Linked DNA regions of Anolis sagrei. The protein of the gene in region 1 interacts with the protein of each later gene in a pairwise test. Links are inferred from orthologs where the notes say so. Each region holds a gene or a part of one and is shown in the gene's direction. Other genes may lie near its edges.

Evidence for each region.
Region 2: the proteins of NIPBL (region 1) and MAU2 interact in binary tests that used the Homo sapiens proteins (3 or more experiments, as listed by UniProt). The link is inferred for Anolis sagrei from reciprocal best matches to the Homo sapiens genes NIPBL and MAU2.

What each region holds. Positions count from the first base shown.
Region 1 is NC_090022.1:279,217,824-279,225,889, reverse strand, and holds the start of NIPBL (nipped-B-like protein), read left to right. Parts: upstream 1-4,904; 5' UTR 4,905-5,379; intron 5,380-8,066. UniProt on the Homo sapiens protein: Plays an important role in the loading of the cohesin complex on to DNA. Forms a heterodimeric complex (also known as cohesin loading complex) with MAU2/SCC4 which mediates the loading of the cohesin complex onto chromatin.
Region 2 is NC_090034.1:50,624,342-50,631,509, forward strand, and holds the start of MAU2 (MAU2 chromatid cohesion factor homolog), read left to right. Parts: upstream 1-4,045; 5' UTR 4,046-4,086; coding exon 4,087-4,551; intron 4,552-7,168. Other genes in the region: SUGP1 (SURP and G-patch domain-containing protein 1), read right to left, coding at 2,139-2,310, 3,756-3,876. UniProt on the Homo sapiens protein: Plays an important role in the loading of the cohesin complex on to DNA. Forms a heterodimeric complex (also known as cohesin loading complex) with NIPBL/SCC2 which mediates the loading of the cohesin complex onto chromatin.

The sequences.
Region 1 (8,066 bases):
TTTAATCTGAGCACACATTTTACTGTGTCTAGTAGGACATATTCTCAGGTAAGCATCATTATTAACTCTAAATACACTGAAATCTTAAATCAAAGTGTAGAGTACATGTAAAACACAAAATACATGTACTTATGCTTCTGAGTTTCCAAAAAGCCGCAGAAATTATTTTTAGATGGAATATAGCTATATTATGCATCATCTGTAAAGACCTGTGCAATGATGTTACTAGCGAATTCTCTGGGCAATCTCTCATGTGTAGGGTCTGGCATACCTACAAATGCACCTGATGGCACATGACTAAATTAACTTATACTTGTACACAGCTAATTTACACAGAACAATCTCTGTGAATGCATCTCTTCAATTCAAAGCCATAGTGCCTGACTTCAGTCTTGTAGTTCTTACTGCTCTTAGGTTGAGTTCTTAACTTTGTGGAAAACTAACTGAAACGACTATATTTAACGATTAGTGCATTCAAAATATTTTTGGAATGCTTGATTAATAGAATCCAAAGCAGACATTTTGGCAAACTTACCTGAATTATAACTTTCTGTTCGGCTCCACTGTGCACAATTTGAAGAGAAAAAGCTTTCCAGGTTGTCATTGTCCCCTTCTCGAAAGCCTGCTCCACTACACATAATTAAGCTATCTGCAAGAAATCTGTCAAAAACTACAATTTCCCAGCAAAGAAACCTTTATGGATTTCCCTCTTTCATGTTACCTTTTTCACAAAACATCATTTTGGAAAAAAATGTGTATGGCCCAGAAACCTAGATTTTTCATCAACTTTAAATTAGGTGATATCCCTGCCTTATAAAAACACGCTTACAAGTATGAAAGTGGCAATTAATGTAAAAAAAAAAAACCCTCCATGCAAACAAGAGCAGTTGTTTAATAGTCCTTCTGGGAATGAAAGAATAAGACACACATTTCTTCTTCTTAAGGAGATCTGTATATCTTCCTTGGAATTTTTCATTTTACCTGCAATCTTGACAATTATGTTTTAAAAACAATTCCTTAGAATCAAAGACTTGGAAGACAACACAAGGACCATCTAATCCATGCCCCTGGCATGCAGGAACAAATCATTAACAACATTATTTTGGTCTTCTTTTGGTCAAATCATGTTTATTTCTCTTCACAACATCAGGCCTTATCTGATTTTCTTTCCATGTCAGGAGTGACTTGAGAAACTCCAAGTCGCTTCTGGTGTGAGAGAATTGGCTGTTTGCAAGGATGTTGCCCAGGGGATGCCCAGATGTTTTACCATCTGGTGGGAGGCTTCTTTTATGTCCCTGCATGAGATGCTGGAGCTGACAGACATGAGCTCACCACATTTCCCAGATTCGAACCGCCAACCTTTCAGTCAGCAGTCCTGCCGGCACATGGGTTTAACCCATTGCGCCACCGGGGGCTCCTAGGCCTTATCTGTGAACTCCAGGTTTTCCTGCAGACATCGGAAATTGAGATAGGAAACAGAGAAACAAAGAGAAGAGACAAGAGCCACCTAGAAAGACAAGAAGCAGCATGGATTCAAGGAGAACAGTGAAGACCCATTTCTCATCACCTTTAAATCCAGCAATATCCGTCTTTAAGATAACACCCATAAAAGTGGTTTCTAACAAGTAAAAAAAAACCCCAAACAGATGCAAACAGGAACCGTTGGCCAGTGGTTACTCTAAGAGTGAAAGAATGAGAGATACATTCCTTAAAAGAACACCTTCCCTTGGAGTCCTTCCCCTCTTTTATTTGGAATTTTTACAATTATATATGTAAAGTAACTACTGATAGCCAACTAATAATAGACTTGGAAGAGGGCCACCCAGTCCATCCCTTTGCCATGCAGGAACAATTTAAAGAAACAACAACAAAATTATGTTGGGGTGGTTTTCAATTGTTGACAATTTATAGAATCATAGAGTTGGAAGAGATCTCATGGGCCATTCGGTCCAACCCCCTGCCAAGAAGCTGGAAAATCACATTCAAAGCATCCCAACAGATGGCCATCCAGCCTCTGTTTAAAAGCCTCCAAAGGAACATTCCAGGGCAGAGTGTTCCACTGCTGAATAACTCTGACAGTCAGGAAGTTCTTCCTAATGTTCAGGTGGAATCTCCTTTCCTGTAGTCTCCAGGGCAGCAGAAAACAAACTTGCTTCCTCCTTCCTATGACTTCCCCTTACATAGTTATACATGGCCCTCATCATGTCTCCTCTCAGCCTTCTCTTCTGCAGGCTAAACATGGCCAGATCTTTAAGACGCTCTTCATATGACTTTTTCTCCAGACCCTTGATCATTTTAGTCCTCCTTTGGACACATTCCAACTTGTCAACATCTCCCTTCAATTGCGGTGCCCAGACCTGGACACAGTGTGATTCCAGGTGCAGTCTGACCAATGCAGAACAGGGGGGTATAGAATCATAGAATCAGGAGATGGAAGAGATCTCGTGGGCCATCCAGTCCAATCCCCTGCCAAGAAGCTGGAAAATTGCATTCAAAGCACCCCTGGCAGATGGCCATCCAGCCTCTGTTTAAAAGCCTCCAAAGAAGGAACCTCCACCACATTCCGAGGCAGAGAGTTCCACTGCTGAACGGCTCTCACAGTCAGGAAGTTCTTCCTCATGTTCAGATGGAATCTCCTTTCTTGTAGTTTGAAGCCATTGTTCCGCGTCCTAGTCTCCAGGGCAGCAGAAAACAAGCTTGCTCCCTCCTCCTGCGGGTTCCTCTCACATATTTATACATAGAATCAGGAAAATTGCATTCAAAGCACCCCCGACAGATGACCATCCAGCCTCTGTTCCCTCCTCTCTCAGCCTCTCGCTCCATTCTGGGGCAGAGAGTTCCACTGCTGACCGTCTCTCACAGTCAGGAAGTTCTTCCTAATGTTCAGGTGGAATCTCCTTTCTTGTAGCATGACAGCTTCGAATTGAACAGCTTGGAAGGACTCTTCTTCCTCACAACGTCCGGCCTTATATTCCTAGATAATAAGGTTTTCCTGCAGACATCAGAAAGCAAGATATGAAACAACAACAAATGGGAGGAAGAAAGAAAAAAAAGAAAATACCTTACAATCTCTGAGGATGCCTGCCATAGATGCAGGAGAAACGTTAGGAGAGAATGCTTCTGGAACATGTATTGCCAAAAGCTTTCATGGCCGGAGTCATAGAATCATAGAATCAAAGAGTTGGAAGAGACCTCATGGGCCATCCAGTCCAACCCCCTGCCAAGAAGCAGGAATATTGCATTCAAATCACCCCTGACAGATGACCACCCAGCCTCTGTTTAAAAGCTTCTAAAGAAGGAGCCTCCACCACAGTCCGGGGCAGTGAGTTCCACTGCTGAACGGCTCTCACAGTCAGGAAGTTCTTTCTAATGTTCAGATGGAATCTCCTTTCTTGTAGTTTGAAGCCATTGTTCTGTGTCCTAGTCTCCAGGGCAGCAGAAAACAAGCTTGCTCCCTCATCCCTATGAATTCCTCTCACATATTTATAGACAGAATCAGGAAAATTGCATTCAAAGCACCCCCGGCAGATGGCCATCCAGCCTCTGTTTAAAAGTTTCCAAAGAAGGAGCCTCCACCACACTCCAGGGCAGAGAGTTCCACTGCTGAACGGCTCTCACAGTCAGGAAGTTCTTCCTCGTGTTCAGATGGAATCTCCTCTCTTGTAGTTTGAAACCATTGTTCCGCGTCCTAGTTTCCAAGGAAGCAGAAAACAAGCTTGCTCCCTCCTCCCTGTGGCTTCCTCTCACATATTTATACATGGCTATCATATCTTATATAGTGCCTTTGACTGCGAGAAGATCCAACCAGTCCATCCTCCAGGAAATAAAGCCCGGCTTCTCACTGGAGGGAAGGATACTAGAGACAAAGTTGAAGTACTTTGGCCACATCATGAGGAGACAGCAAAGCCTAGAGAAGACAATTATGCTGGGGAAAGTGGAAGGCAAAAGGAAGAGGGGCCGACCAAGGGCAAGATGGATGGATGGCATCCTTGAAGTGACTGGACTGACCTTGAAGGAGCTGGGGGTGGTGAGAGCCGACAGGGAGCTCTGGCGTGGGCTGGTCCATGAGGTCACGAAGAGTCGAAGACGACTGAACGAATGAACAACAACAACAACATCATATCTCCTCTCAGCCTTCTCTTCTTCAGGGTAAACATGCCCAACTCCTTAAGCCGCTCCTCATAGGGCTTGTTCTCCAGACCCTTGATCATTTTAGTCGCCCTCCTCTGGACACATTCCACATTCACTGGGTTGTAAGTTTTTCGGGCTGTTCTGAGAGAAAGCGAGAACATAGCCATACAGTTTTTTAAAAAAAGAACTTACCACAACCTTCTGGAACATGGCCATATAAGCCCGGAAAACACACAACAACAACAACAACAACAACAACAACAACAACCCAGTGATCCCGGCCATGAAAGATAAGAGTCACTTGGAGAGAGAACAACAAGCCGAGCTACAACCAAAGAAAGAGAAAGAGAGACAACTTCGTAGAAGATAGAACGAAGCAAGCTGAAGGAGGCAAAGGGGAAGAAGGAAGGCAGGCAGCAGCCGAGCCGAAAGGGGGAGGCTGTTGGTGTTTGGCGCCGGTGGAGGGAGTCATTCCTCCAAGCTGCACTTCCGGTCGGCATTTTGTTCTGAGAGGGAGCGAGAGCGACGCTCGCATTTACGCAGGCTCCTGTTTTTCCGCCCTCTCTCCTTCCTCCTCCCTTCCCGGGACCGACTCCCCGTGGCCCAGGCGCCCCCTCCCTGCCCCGCCCCAGCAGCCGCGTCCACGCACGCCCAGGAAGCAGGGGAGCAAGGAAGCAAGGCAGGGGAGCCAGAGAGGCGGAGGCAGGGGCCTAGGCGGCGGTGACGGCGGCGGAAGAGAAGGAGCGAGCGCCGCCGCGGCCGAGGAGATCCCCCTCCCTCTCCTCTCCTTCCTCCCTTCCTTCCTCCCCCTTCCCCGGTCGGTGCGTGAGGAGGTGTTGATCGGATCCGGCTAGGCCCCGGCCTTGGCGTCGTGTGGATATGTTGGTGGTGAATTAGCCTCGGTGGGAGGAGGAGGACGACGGCAAGGAGGAGGAGGAAGAAGAAGAGAAGCAGCAAGAAGAAGAAGAGAAAGAGGAGGAAGAGGAAAGCAGGCAGGCTTCCTTCGGCCGCTCTCCCCTCGGCGGCTCTCTACATGTTCGCTGCACTCAGGAGGAGGCGGAAGAGGAGCCAGCCCCCCTCCCGGCCCGGATTATTGTTGTTATATTATCTCCCTTCCTCCTCCTCCTCCTCCTCTCGCTCCGCGGCCCAGCGGCGGATCCTTTGAGGAGGGAGGGGGTGGCCTTTCCCCCCTCCTCTTCCCCCCTTCTGGTTTGGTTTTCGGTTGGATTCAAGCGGCGTTTCGCTCAGGTAAAAAGGCAAAGCTCCCCCTCCTTCCCTCTCTCCCTCGGTTTTGGTTCCTTCTCTCCAGGCAGGCAGCGCCTTGGGCCTCCTCTCTCTCTGTGTCTCTCTCTCTCTCTGCTCTGGCCCAGTCGGGAAGCAGAGCAAGGGATTAGCCTTTTCGTCCGGTGTGGGGGGGATAATAATGAGTGGCAGCCAGGGTTGATGGGGGGGGGGGTGCTTCACGTTTCTCCCCGCCTCCTGGATGTGAATGGTTGCCTCGGAGTTGCTGGAGAAGGCCAAGCCCGGAGGAGGGCGCAGGCCCAGCGGACAGCGCTTCCACTCCAGCTCGGGGATTATTTTAGAGCGGCGGAGTGGCTTCTTCCCTGTGACAGGCCTCGCTCAAGCGCCCCAGAGCCAAGAGTGGGAGGAGGAAACAATACAGTCCAAACCGCGGCTGGGCCATATTTACAACTTCACGGGCGGCGGGAGGGAAGGGAAGGGGGAAAAAAAGTCCCAGATAAAAACATTTGCAAAGAAAAGAGAAGGAGACGCGTGCACTCGGGGTGTGTGTCTAGTTGGCAGCGACTGTGCCTTTTAATTCTCCTTGCACGATATTTTGACTGTAGGTGGCTAGGAGAAAAAAAAAAAGATTGGTATTGCAAGTTGTGTAAATCCCTGCGGATTGCCTTGATAAATAAATCCAGACCGTGCTGAAAGATTGACAGAACACGAAACACCTGTCCAACTCACAAGACATACATATTATTTTTATTTCTCGCCAGTCAATTATATTACATTTCTAACAGAACAAAGCAAACAAACAGAAAATACAAAATGTGTGAGTTTGGTAGTTGATTAAATGTCCTTTGACCAGTATCTGGCCACTTGGAGTGCTTCTGGTGTTGCTGGAAGAAGGCATACATGAAAGCCTTAGACAACACATCATACATGGCCTGCTGTATGCAACCTTTAAAGGTTTTATTTTCTGTGTGCACGAAAAGTTACATAGTAAATAATTACTGCCCCACGAAAAAAAAAATGTTTGTAACAATGAATTGCCATCTAGAGATAGTATCCTTGAAGTTAGTTGATTTTTTTTTTAAAGGCCAAAGGTTACTCTGGAATCTCATAGCAAATTGTACTAAATAAGGCAGCAATCCTAAACATAGTCCTTTAGTCCTATTAAAATTGGTGGTCCATCCATATGAAGAAACATGGTTGAGGAGTGGGTTAAAATAGTTTAAAATCTTGCGGAATTAATTTCCTATACCAATTTCAAATAGATACTGTTTGTGTCCATATTGTGTGTGAGTGTTATTGGGTAATCACGTACAACACAGATGTCTAAAAGTTCATCATCAGTATTATAATGTTAACTGGAAGGAAATATAATAGTTTTCTGGTAAACAGTTGTAAATTAAAAAAAATGTGAGAAACTATTTGGATACAGTCCTGGATCTGTTCCTTAGGGATAAACTTCATTTGAACCCTATGGAATTCACTTCAGAGTAGACATTCACAGTCTCTATAACAAGTTAATTTGTGCAATTTTGATTAATTCTGTTTTATAACTACTTTTTATGTAACTTTGTCAAAAAGAGGTCTCTGGTTGTGATTAGATTGTAGTAATCTTTCCCAGTGCTCAACTTTCACATTGATGTTGTTGGTGTTCTAACTTAAAAAAAAACTAGCTTCCGTTTAGTAAAATAACTTTTGGTGTTGTTTGGGAAGTAGTGCTGTGTTTTTAAATGGGTGGTGTGAATATAGCTGTCACGTAGAAAGCATGTTTTTAATGATGTAAATTCATGTAGTAGTCAGTACTGTGTCTGTGATTTGTATTGGCCAGGCAGCGGTTTGAATTTTAAAAAGCCAGAAGATCCTGCTGAGCCCCAAACCCGGCCTCCCTCCCTCCCACTAATCTGCCATTCCTGTCTTTGTGCTGCCTGGGCCTGTTAGACACTGTTTGCAACAGGGCCTCAGGCCTGTATGCTCGGGAGAGCAACCATTTTCAGTTTGAAAAAGCAGCTTTTATTTTCTGAACTTTATAAATTGCAGAGTGAAACATGAGTTGTTTCTAATTATTTCTATGTATGGTGACTGAATTTTGCCTTTAAAAAAAAAGCTGTACTAGGAATGTCAAGCATAGGTCTAATTTACAGAAAGGACAGTACAGAAAACTATTGTAAGAAAGTGGCACTAGAACTTCTCATTTTGTCACTTCAGTTAAATATGTGATTTCCCATAAATTGCATTGAAGCTTATGCCCTAGTCATATAACTCCTGCATGTTCTTTACTTTAGTTCCAGTTTTATTCATTTAGGTATGCATTCTCCTGCCTACCCCTTTTTAAATGTTTACAGTCTTCATGCATTTTAAAGTTGTTTGTTTGATACATTTTGTATGAAATATTCATCATTTTTAATATGAAGATTTTCTTCTGAAACTTTTCTAAAACACATACCTGTGATTTGGTCCATTATTTTGGAAACACAATGACATGTCTTAATTTTTTAATTTACATATGATGTTTAGTACTGAGGTTATTTCTTTAGAAATAATCAAGTAGCTGAAGCAAACCTCAAATTTCAGATACCTTGAAGGGTTAAATCACTTGTTGGTGAAATATATGTGGTTATATTCCTTAGCTAAAAAGGGATGGATATTTTCTTCTTGTGCCCTAAATGATCTTTCACACTTTCAGTTTTTATTGCATT
Region 2 (7,168 bases), on another chromosome or scaffold:
TGGGCCCAGAACCCTTCTTGGGTCATGTTTCCACTTAAATGTGGGCCATTCAGATGCTGGGCACTCCTTTTTCGGCTTTTTGTGCCTTGAAGTCATTTCTGTGCCTTTACAAGTTGTCAGGAGTGGTTTGTCATGGCCTTTCTATGAAGCTGAAAAAGTGTGACTTGCCTAATAGGGGTTTGAACCCTGGTCTTCCTACTCAAATCTCTATAATGGCTTCCAAATAAGCAACATTTGCTGTTTATCTTCTTGTTTTTAATTACACACTGCATTTAATTACACTTTATGGCGTTCTATAATTACTGCTCTGCTTTCCAGAGTTTCCTTTTCCTATTGCATGGTTTTGGACCATACAATTAACATAGTGAATACATCTCAGAGGCAATTTCTTATAAACTGTTAAGAATGGAGAACCAATAAGATTCTCCAGACTAGATTGGATTTTAAGAGTTCTAGAACTGGCAGAAATTGACAAATTGCCTTGTCCAATAAACGAGAAGCCAACAATTTTTTTTTCAAATAATGAAAAGTTTTTATCACTTATAAAGAAAAAAGAAAATGCTTGCAGGTTTTGAAGATTAAGTAAACCATTAAAAGATTAGGACAGAATAAAAAAAACTGATTAAGAGATTGGGGGCATTACAATAATATTTTAATCTAATTGTGTTTAATCTATGCTGATGATTGTGCCATCATCGCCCAAGCAGTGAGCTTTGAAATAGTTGAACAGAAGTTCTCCGAAGCTTTAGGTGCTCTTACTGGCTATCACAGGGGAAACCAGCTGATTCCTAATCCATCTAAAATGCAGACGTGTAGTTTTCATCTTAAGAACAGATAAGCATCTCGAGCTCTGAGGATGACCAGGGAAGGAATCCCATTGGAGCATTGAAGCACACCCAAATACCTGGGAGTTGCTCTGGACCATGCTCTGACCTACAAGAAGCACTGCTTGACTATCAAGCAAAAACTGAGTACTAGAAACAATAACATACAAAAGCTGACTGGCAGAACCTGGGGATCACAACCACACACAGTGAAGACATCTGCCCTTGCACTTTGCTACTCTGCTGCTGAGTACACATGCCCAGTGTGGAATACATTTCAACATGTTATAAGAGTGGACGTGACATCACAGAATGTCTATGCTTTACACCACTGGGGAAATTATGTTTACCCAGTATTGCACCACCTGATATCCTCAGGGAAGTAGCAGCTAGTAATGAAAGGATCAAGACATTGACATCTCTGGCCCATTCTCTGTTTGGATAGCAGCCAGCATGCCAATGATTTAAATCAAGAAACAGCTTTCTAAGATCTATGGAGATACTTGCAGGAACACCTCAACAAGCGAAAGTGCAAAAGTGGCAGGAAAAAAAATGGAACTTCAATCACTTACTGATACCCAATGAGAAACTCCCTCCTAGGCACATAGAAGACTGGGTGACTTGGAAGGCACTGAACAGGCTGCACTCTGGCACCATGAGATGCAGAGCCAACGCTAAGAAATGGGGACTCAAAGTGGAGTCCGTGACATGCGAGTGTGGAGAAGAGCAAACCACAGACCACCTGTGGCAATACAGACTAACCTCGGCCACATGTACAATGGAGGACCTTCTCACAGCGACACCAGAGGCACCCCAAGGGGCCAGCTTCTGGCCAAAGAAAATTTAGCATAATGCCAAGCTTTCTAACTTTGTTTGTGGATTTTAAAAAATATTATAACTGTATTCTCAATTTTCTTCTGACATAAGTAAATAAAAATAAAATAAATCTGATTGTGTCTTCCTGCCTAGCAGAATGAGGTTGGACTGTATGCCCCTTTGTGGTCTCTTCCAACTCAGGATTCTATTGCCTCCGTGAACCTAATGGTGTCTACGAGGTTTCATGGTCATCTGTCAGGAGGGCTTGGATGGTGTCTTCCTGCCTAGCAGAAGGGGTTTGGGCTGCATAGCCCTGGAGTCTTTTCCAACTCTAGAATTATATGATCCTACAATTTTGGAAACTTGAAGTTGGGTTTGGAGACCACTGCTTTGGCCTATGCTTGTAAGTCTTGCATGCAATGTTGGAAAGATCATAGATAAACCTATCAAAAAGTAAACAAGCAAGCAAGCGCCCCCCTTGCCCCAACTCCTACGGACTCGCTGGCCTGTGAGGACTGCTGCCGGGCCAAGTGACTCTGCTTGGCCTGCCGCTCCATCTTGGCCTCGATCTCCCGCTTCTTCTGGGCAATCAGCTTCTCCTGATGGAGGATGTTCACGTTGGTCTTCATCGACTTGGGCATGGTGACGCCAAACCACCGGCTGACTTTGCCTGGTCAAACAGGAGAAAGGAAAAACATGGGAGGCTCAAGGCTCACAAAAACCACACAAAGAGATTGAGGTTTCCCTCCTATCAACATGGGCATATGTTGCTGAAGGCTTTCATAGCCAGAATCACTGGGTTGCTGTGAGTTTTTCAGGCTGTCTGGCCATGTTCTAGTAGCATTCTCTCCTGACATTTCGCACACAGCTGTGGCTGGCATCTTAAGAGGTCTGTTGGAAATGTACTGGATGGGGTCGCACTCCCCTTGAAGGCGTAGGTTCGCAGCTTGGGTGTGATCCTGGATTCATCGCTGAGCCTGAAGCCCCAGGTTTCGGCGGTGACCAGGGGAGCATTTGCACAGCTTAGGCTCGTGCGCCAGCTGCGCCCGTACCTTGGGAAGTCTGACTTGGCCACGGTAGTCCACGCTCTGGTTACATCCCGTTTAGACTACTGCAACGCTCTCTACGTGGGGTTGCCTTTGAAGACGGCCCGGAAGCTCCAACTGGTCCAATGTGCGGCAGCCATGATACTAACAGGAGCGGGACGCAGGGAGCATACAACCCTCCTGTTGTACCAGCTCCACTGGCTGCCGATCTGCTACCGGGCTCAATTCAAGGTGCTGGCATTGGCCTATAAAGCCCTAAACGGTTCCGGCCCAAGATACCTAACTGACCACCTCTCGACCTATGAGCCCACGAGGACTTTGAGATCTTCCGGGGAGGCTCTGCTCTCAATCCCGCCTGCTTCACAGGCACGGCTGGCGGAGACGAGAGATAGGGCCTTCTCAGTAGTGGCTCCTCGGCTGTGGAACACCCTTCCCGTGGACATCAGACTGGCTCCTTCCCTGATAATATTCCGCAGGAAATTAAAGACCTGGCTGTTTAAGAAGGCGTTCGAACAAGAAGTGCAATGATTGGTAATTGACTATAGGAATGGAACAACGGATAATTATACTGGATTGTGGTTTTGATGATGAGACGACGCGGAATGGCTTTTGTAGTAATGATGATGTTTTCTGATGATGATGTTTTTTTGTTAATGATGGACTGTGGATTATTTTATATTGTGTCTTGTATTCTGAACCTTGTTCTTTCTATGTTGTACGCCGCTGTGAGTCGCCCCTGGGCTGAGAACAGCGGTATATAAGCAAAGTAAATAAATAAATATATAAATAAGGCAAGTGGCAAGTGGCAGGCATATGAATAGCCTTCCACTGAATAGCCTTGCAGCTTCAAAGCCTCGCTGCTTCCTGTTTGGGGGAAATCCAGTTATTCTGGCCATGAAAGCCTTCGATAACACAATGAGGGAATGGCCTAGACAACAAGGCCCTACCTGAGAGAGGAAGCCTGTTGATTTCACGGGAGAAAGGCAAAGGAGCTTCTAGGGAGGCCAGGTGGGCCATTGGGACCCACCTGGATGGAGGTGGGAGGGGCGTGTAGGGGAAAAAGACTCACCTGGCGCTTCTCTGCCTCCTTCCATGTCTCTCAGGAAGTTCCTTTTCTCCCACAATGCCGCACGCGCACCAGCCCAAGCTCTTAATAGAATTATCTGCCAACTCTCGCGAGAAGACAGCATTTCTTGTCTCCTCCCCCCAAGCCAAGCTCCTTTTGTGTTCGCTGAGATAAACAAGGGACCTCCAGACTACGCATGCGTCGCAGCAGAGCCCGAATTGCGCGTGCGTCCCAGCGCAGCCGTCCTCTCCTCCGATTGGCCAACTCGGCAAGGACGGGTTTTTTCGCAGGCGCAGTGGCCGTCATTCGGGTCTTCGGCTGAGGTAAATCCAAGATGGCGGCGGTGGGAGCTTCGGGAGCGGAGACGGCGGTGTCTTCGGCCTCGACGCCAACGTCGACGTCGTCCGCAGTGGCGGTGGCTCCGTCTTCGTCGGCCTCGGCGCCTCAGCCTCCGGGAGGGAGTAGCGCGACGGCGCCACCTCAGCAGGCCGGCTCCGAGGCCGCTCCAGCCGGGGGCAACAACCCTGGCTCGGGCGGGTCTTCGTCCTCGGCTTCTTCCTCTGGCGGCGGGGCCTCGCCGTCCTCGTCGGAGTCGTGGTACGTGGCGCTGCTGGGCCTGGCCGAGCACTTCCGCACCTCCAGCCCGCCCAAAGTGCGCCTCTGCGTCCACTGCCTCCAAGCCGTGCTGCCACGCAAGCCCCCGGCCCGCGTCGAGGCCCGCACCCACCTCCAGCTCGGCTCCGTCCTTTACCACCACACCCGCAACGGAGAGCAGGCCCGCGGACACCTCGAGAAGGCCGTGAGTATTTCTTTACATGCTTTGCTGTCTGGTGATCTGGAAAATAAAGTAACCAGAAAGTGTTGGTTTCTAATATATGTAATTTCTTTGTGCTTGTGGGTAAACAGTATTTCTTGTTCTTTCTTTGTCAGTGTTGATGTGGAGAGTGTCTGGTTTGACTACTCTGGAACATGCAACATATAATTGTCCTTCTTTTGGAGGTCCCTTTCAAATCTATGATGCTATATCTGGTTTGTTTGTTTGTCGTGTCAGGAGCGACTTGAGAAACTACAAGTCGCTTCTGGTGTGAGAGAATTGGCCGTCTGCAAGGACGTTGCCCAGGGGACGCCCGGATGAATTGATGTTTTTATCTTCCTTGTGGGAGGTTTTCTCATGTCCCCGCATGAGGAGCTGGAGTTGATAGAGGGAGCTCATCCGCCTCTCCTCGGAATTTTTTATTTATTTCGTGTTAGGGCAGCCAGTCAATTATATCATATTTCTAACAGAACAAAGCAAACAAACAGACATAATACAAAATTTTTGAGTTTGGTAGTTGATTAAATGTCCTTTGACCAGTATCTGGCCACTTGGAGTGCTTCTGGTGTTGCTGCAAGAAGGTCCTCCATTGTGCATGTGGCAGGGCTCAGGTTGCATTGCAGCAGGTGGTCTGTGGTTTGCTCCTCTCCACATTCGCATGTCGAGGATTCCACTTTGTAGCCCTATTTCTGAAGGTTGGCTCTGCATCTCGTGGTGCCAGAGCGCAGTCTGTTCAGCGCCTTCCAAGTCGCCCAGTCCTCTGTGTGCCAGGGAGGAGTCTCTCATTTGGTATCAGCCATTGGTTGAGGTTCTGGATTTGAGCCTGCCACTTTTGGACTCCCGCTTGCTGAGGTGTTCCAGCGAGTGTCTCTGTAGATCTTAGAAAATTATGTCTACATTTAAGTCGTTGACATGCTGGCTGCTACTTCCCGGCGGATATCAGGTGGTGCAATACCAGCTAAGCAGTGTAATTTCTCCAGTGGTGTAGGGCGCAGACACCCCGTGATAATGCGGCATGTCTCATTAAGATTTGAACCTCATTAAGATTTGAACCTGCGACCTGTCGGTCTTCAGTCCTGCCGTCACAGGGGTTTAACCCGCTGCGCCACCGGGTTAAACCCCTGTGAATATATATGATTCACCGTGTGTGTGTGAATAATACTATGTATCTCTATCTGTGGCTTGATGGCTCTTTGTCCGGAGGGCTTTGATAATGTTTTCTTGCCTGGTGAAGGGAGTTGGACTGGATGGCCTTAAGTATTTTCTGTTGGTCATGGGGGTTCTGTGTGGGAAGTCTGTCCCAATTCTGTCGTTGGTAGGGTTCAGAATGCTCTTTGATTGTAGGTAAACTATAAATCCCAGCAACTACAACTCCCAAATGTCAAGGTCTATTTTCCCAAAACTCCATCTGTGTTTATATTTGGGCTTATGGAATATTCATGCCAAGTTTGGTCCAGATCCATCATTGTTTGAGTCCACAGTGCTCTATGAATATAGGTGAACTACAACTCCCAAACTCAAGGTCAATGCCCACCAAACCCTTCCAGTATTTTCTCTTGGTTGTGGGAGTCCTGTGTGCCACGTTTGGTTCAATTCCATCATTGGTAGAATTCAGAATGCTCTTTGATTGTAGGTGTACTACTATAAATCCTAGCAACTACAACTCCCAAATGACAAACTCAATTTTTTGAGTGAAGGACATACATTGGATTGTTAGGTGTATGCTGCCCAAATTTGGTGTCAATTCCCTCCTGTGGTTTTTGAGTTCTGTTAATCCCACAAACGAACATTATAATTTTATTTATATATATTTTACCCCGTTCTATCTCCACCCCGAAGGGGACTCGGAGTGGCTTCCAGTTTGGCAATCATTCAGTCAAACAAGGGGGACTGCCATGCAGGAAAAGCACAATCAAAGCACCCCCAACAGATGGCCACCGAGTTTTTGTAATAATAATAACAGGAGCAATCCCAGGGACCATTCAGTCCAACCCCCTTTATTCTGCCATCCAATCAAAGCACCCCCAACAAATGGCCACCTAGCTTTTGCAATAATAATAGTAATAGGAGCAACCCCAGGGACCATCCAGCCTTTGCATTATAATAGTAGTAGGAGCAATCCAAGGGGCCATCCAGCCTTTGCAGTAGTAATAATAATATTTGTTTATTTCCAGCATTTTCTACCCCATCTTACTCAACTCCCAGAGGGGTACTCAGGACAGCTTACACTTGTAATAGGAACAACCCCAGAGGCCATCCAGTCCAACTCCCTTTATTCTGCCATGCAGGAAAAGCACAATCAAAGTACACCCAACAAATGGCCACCCAGCCTTTGTAATAATAATAGGAGCAACCCCAGAGGCCATCCAGCCTTTGCAGTAATAATAAGAATAGTAATAGGAGCACCCCCCCTCCCAACAGATGGCAACCACCCTTTGTAGTAGTAATAATAAGAATAGTAATTGGAACCTGAGGCCATCCAGTCCAACCCCCTTTATTCTGCCAATCAGGAAAAGCACAATGAAATCATCCACAACAGATGTCTACCCACCTTTTGTAGTAATAATAGGAGCAACCCCAGGGGCCATACAGTCCAACCCCC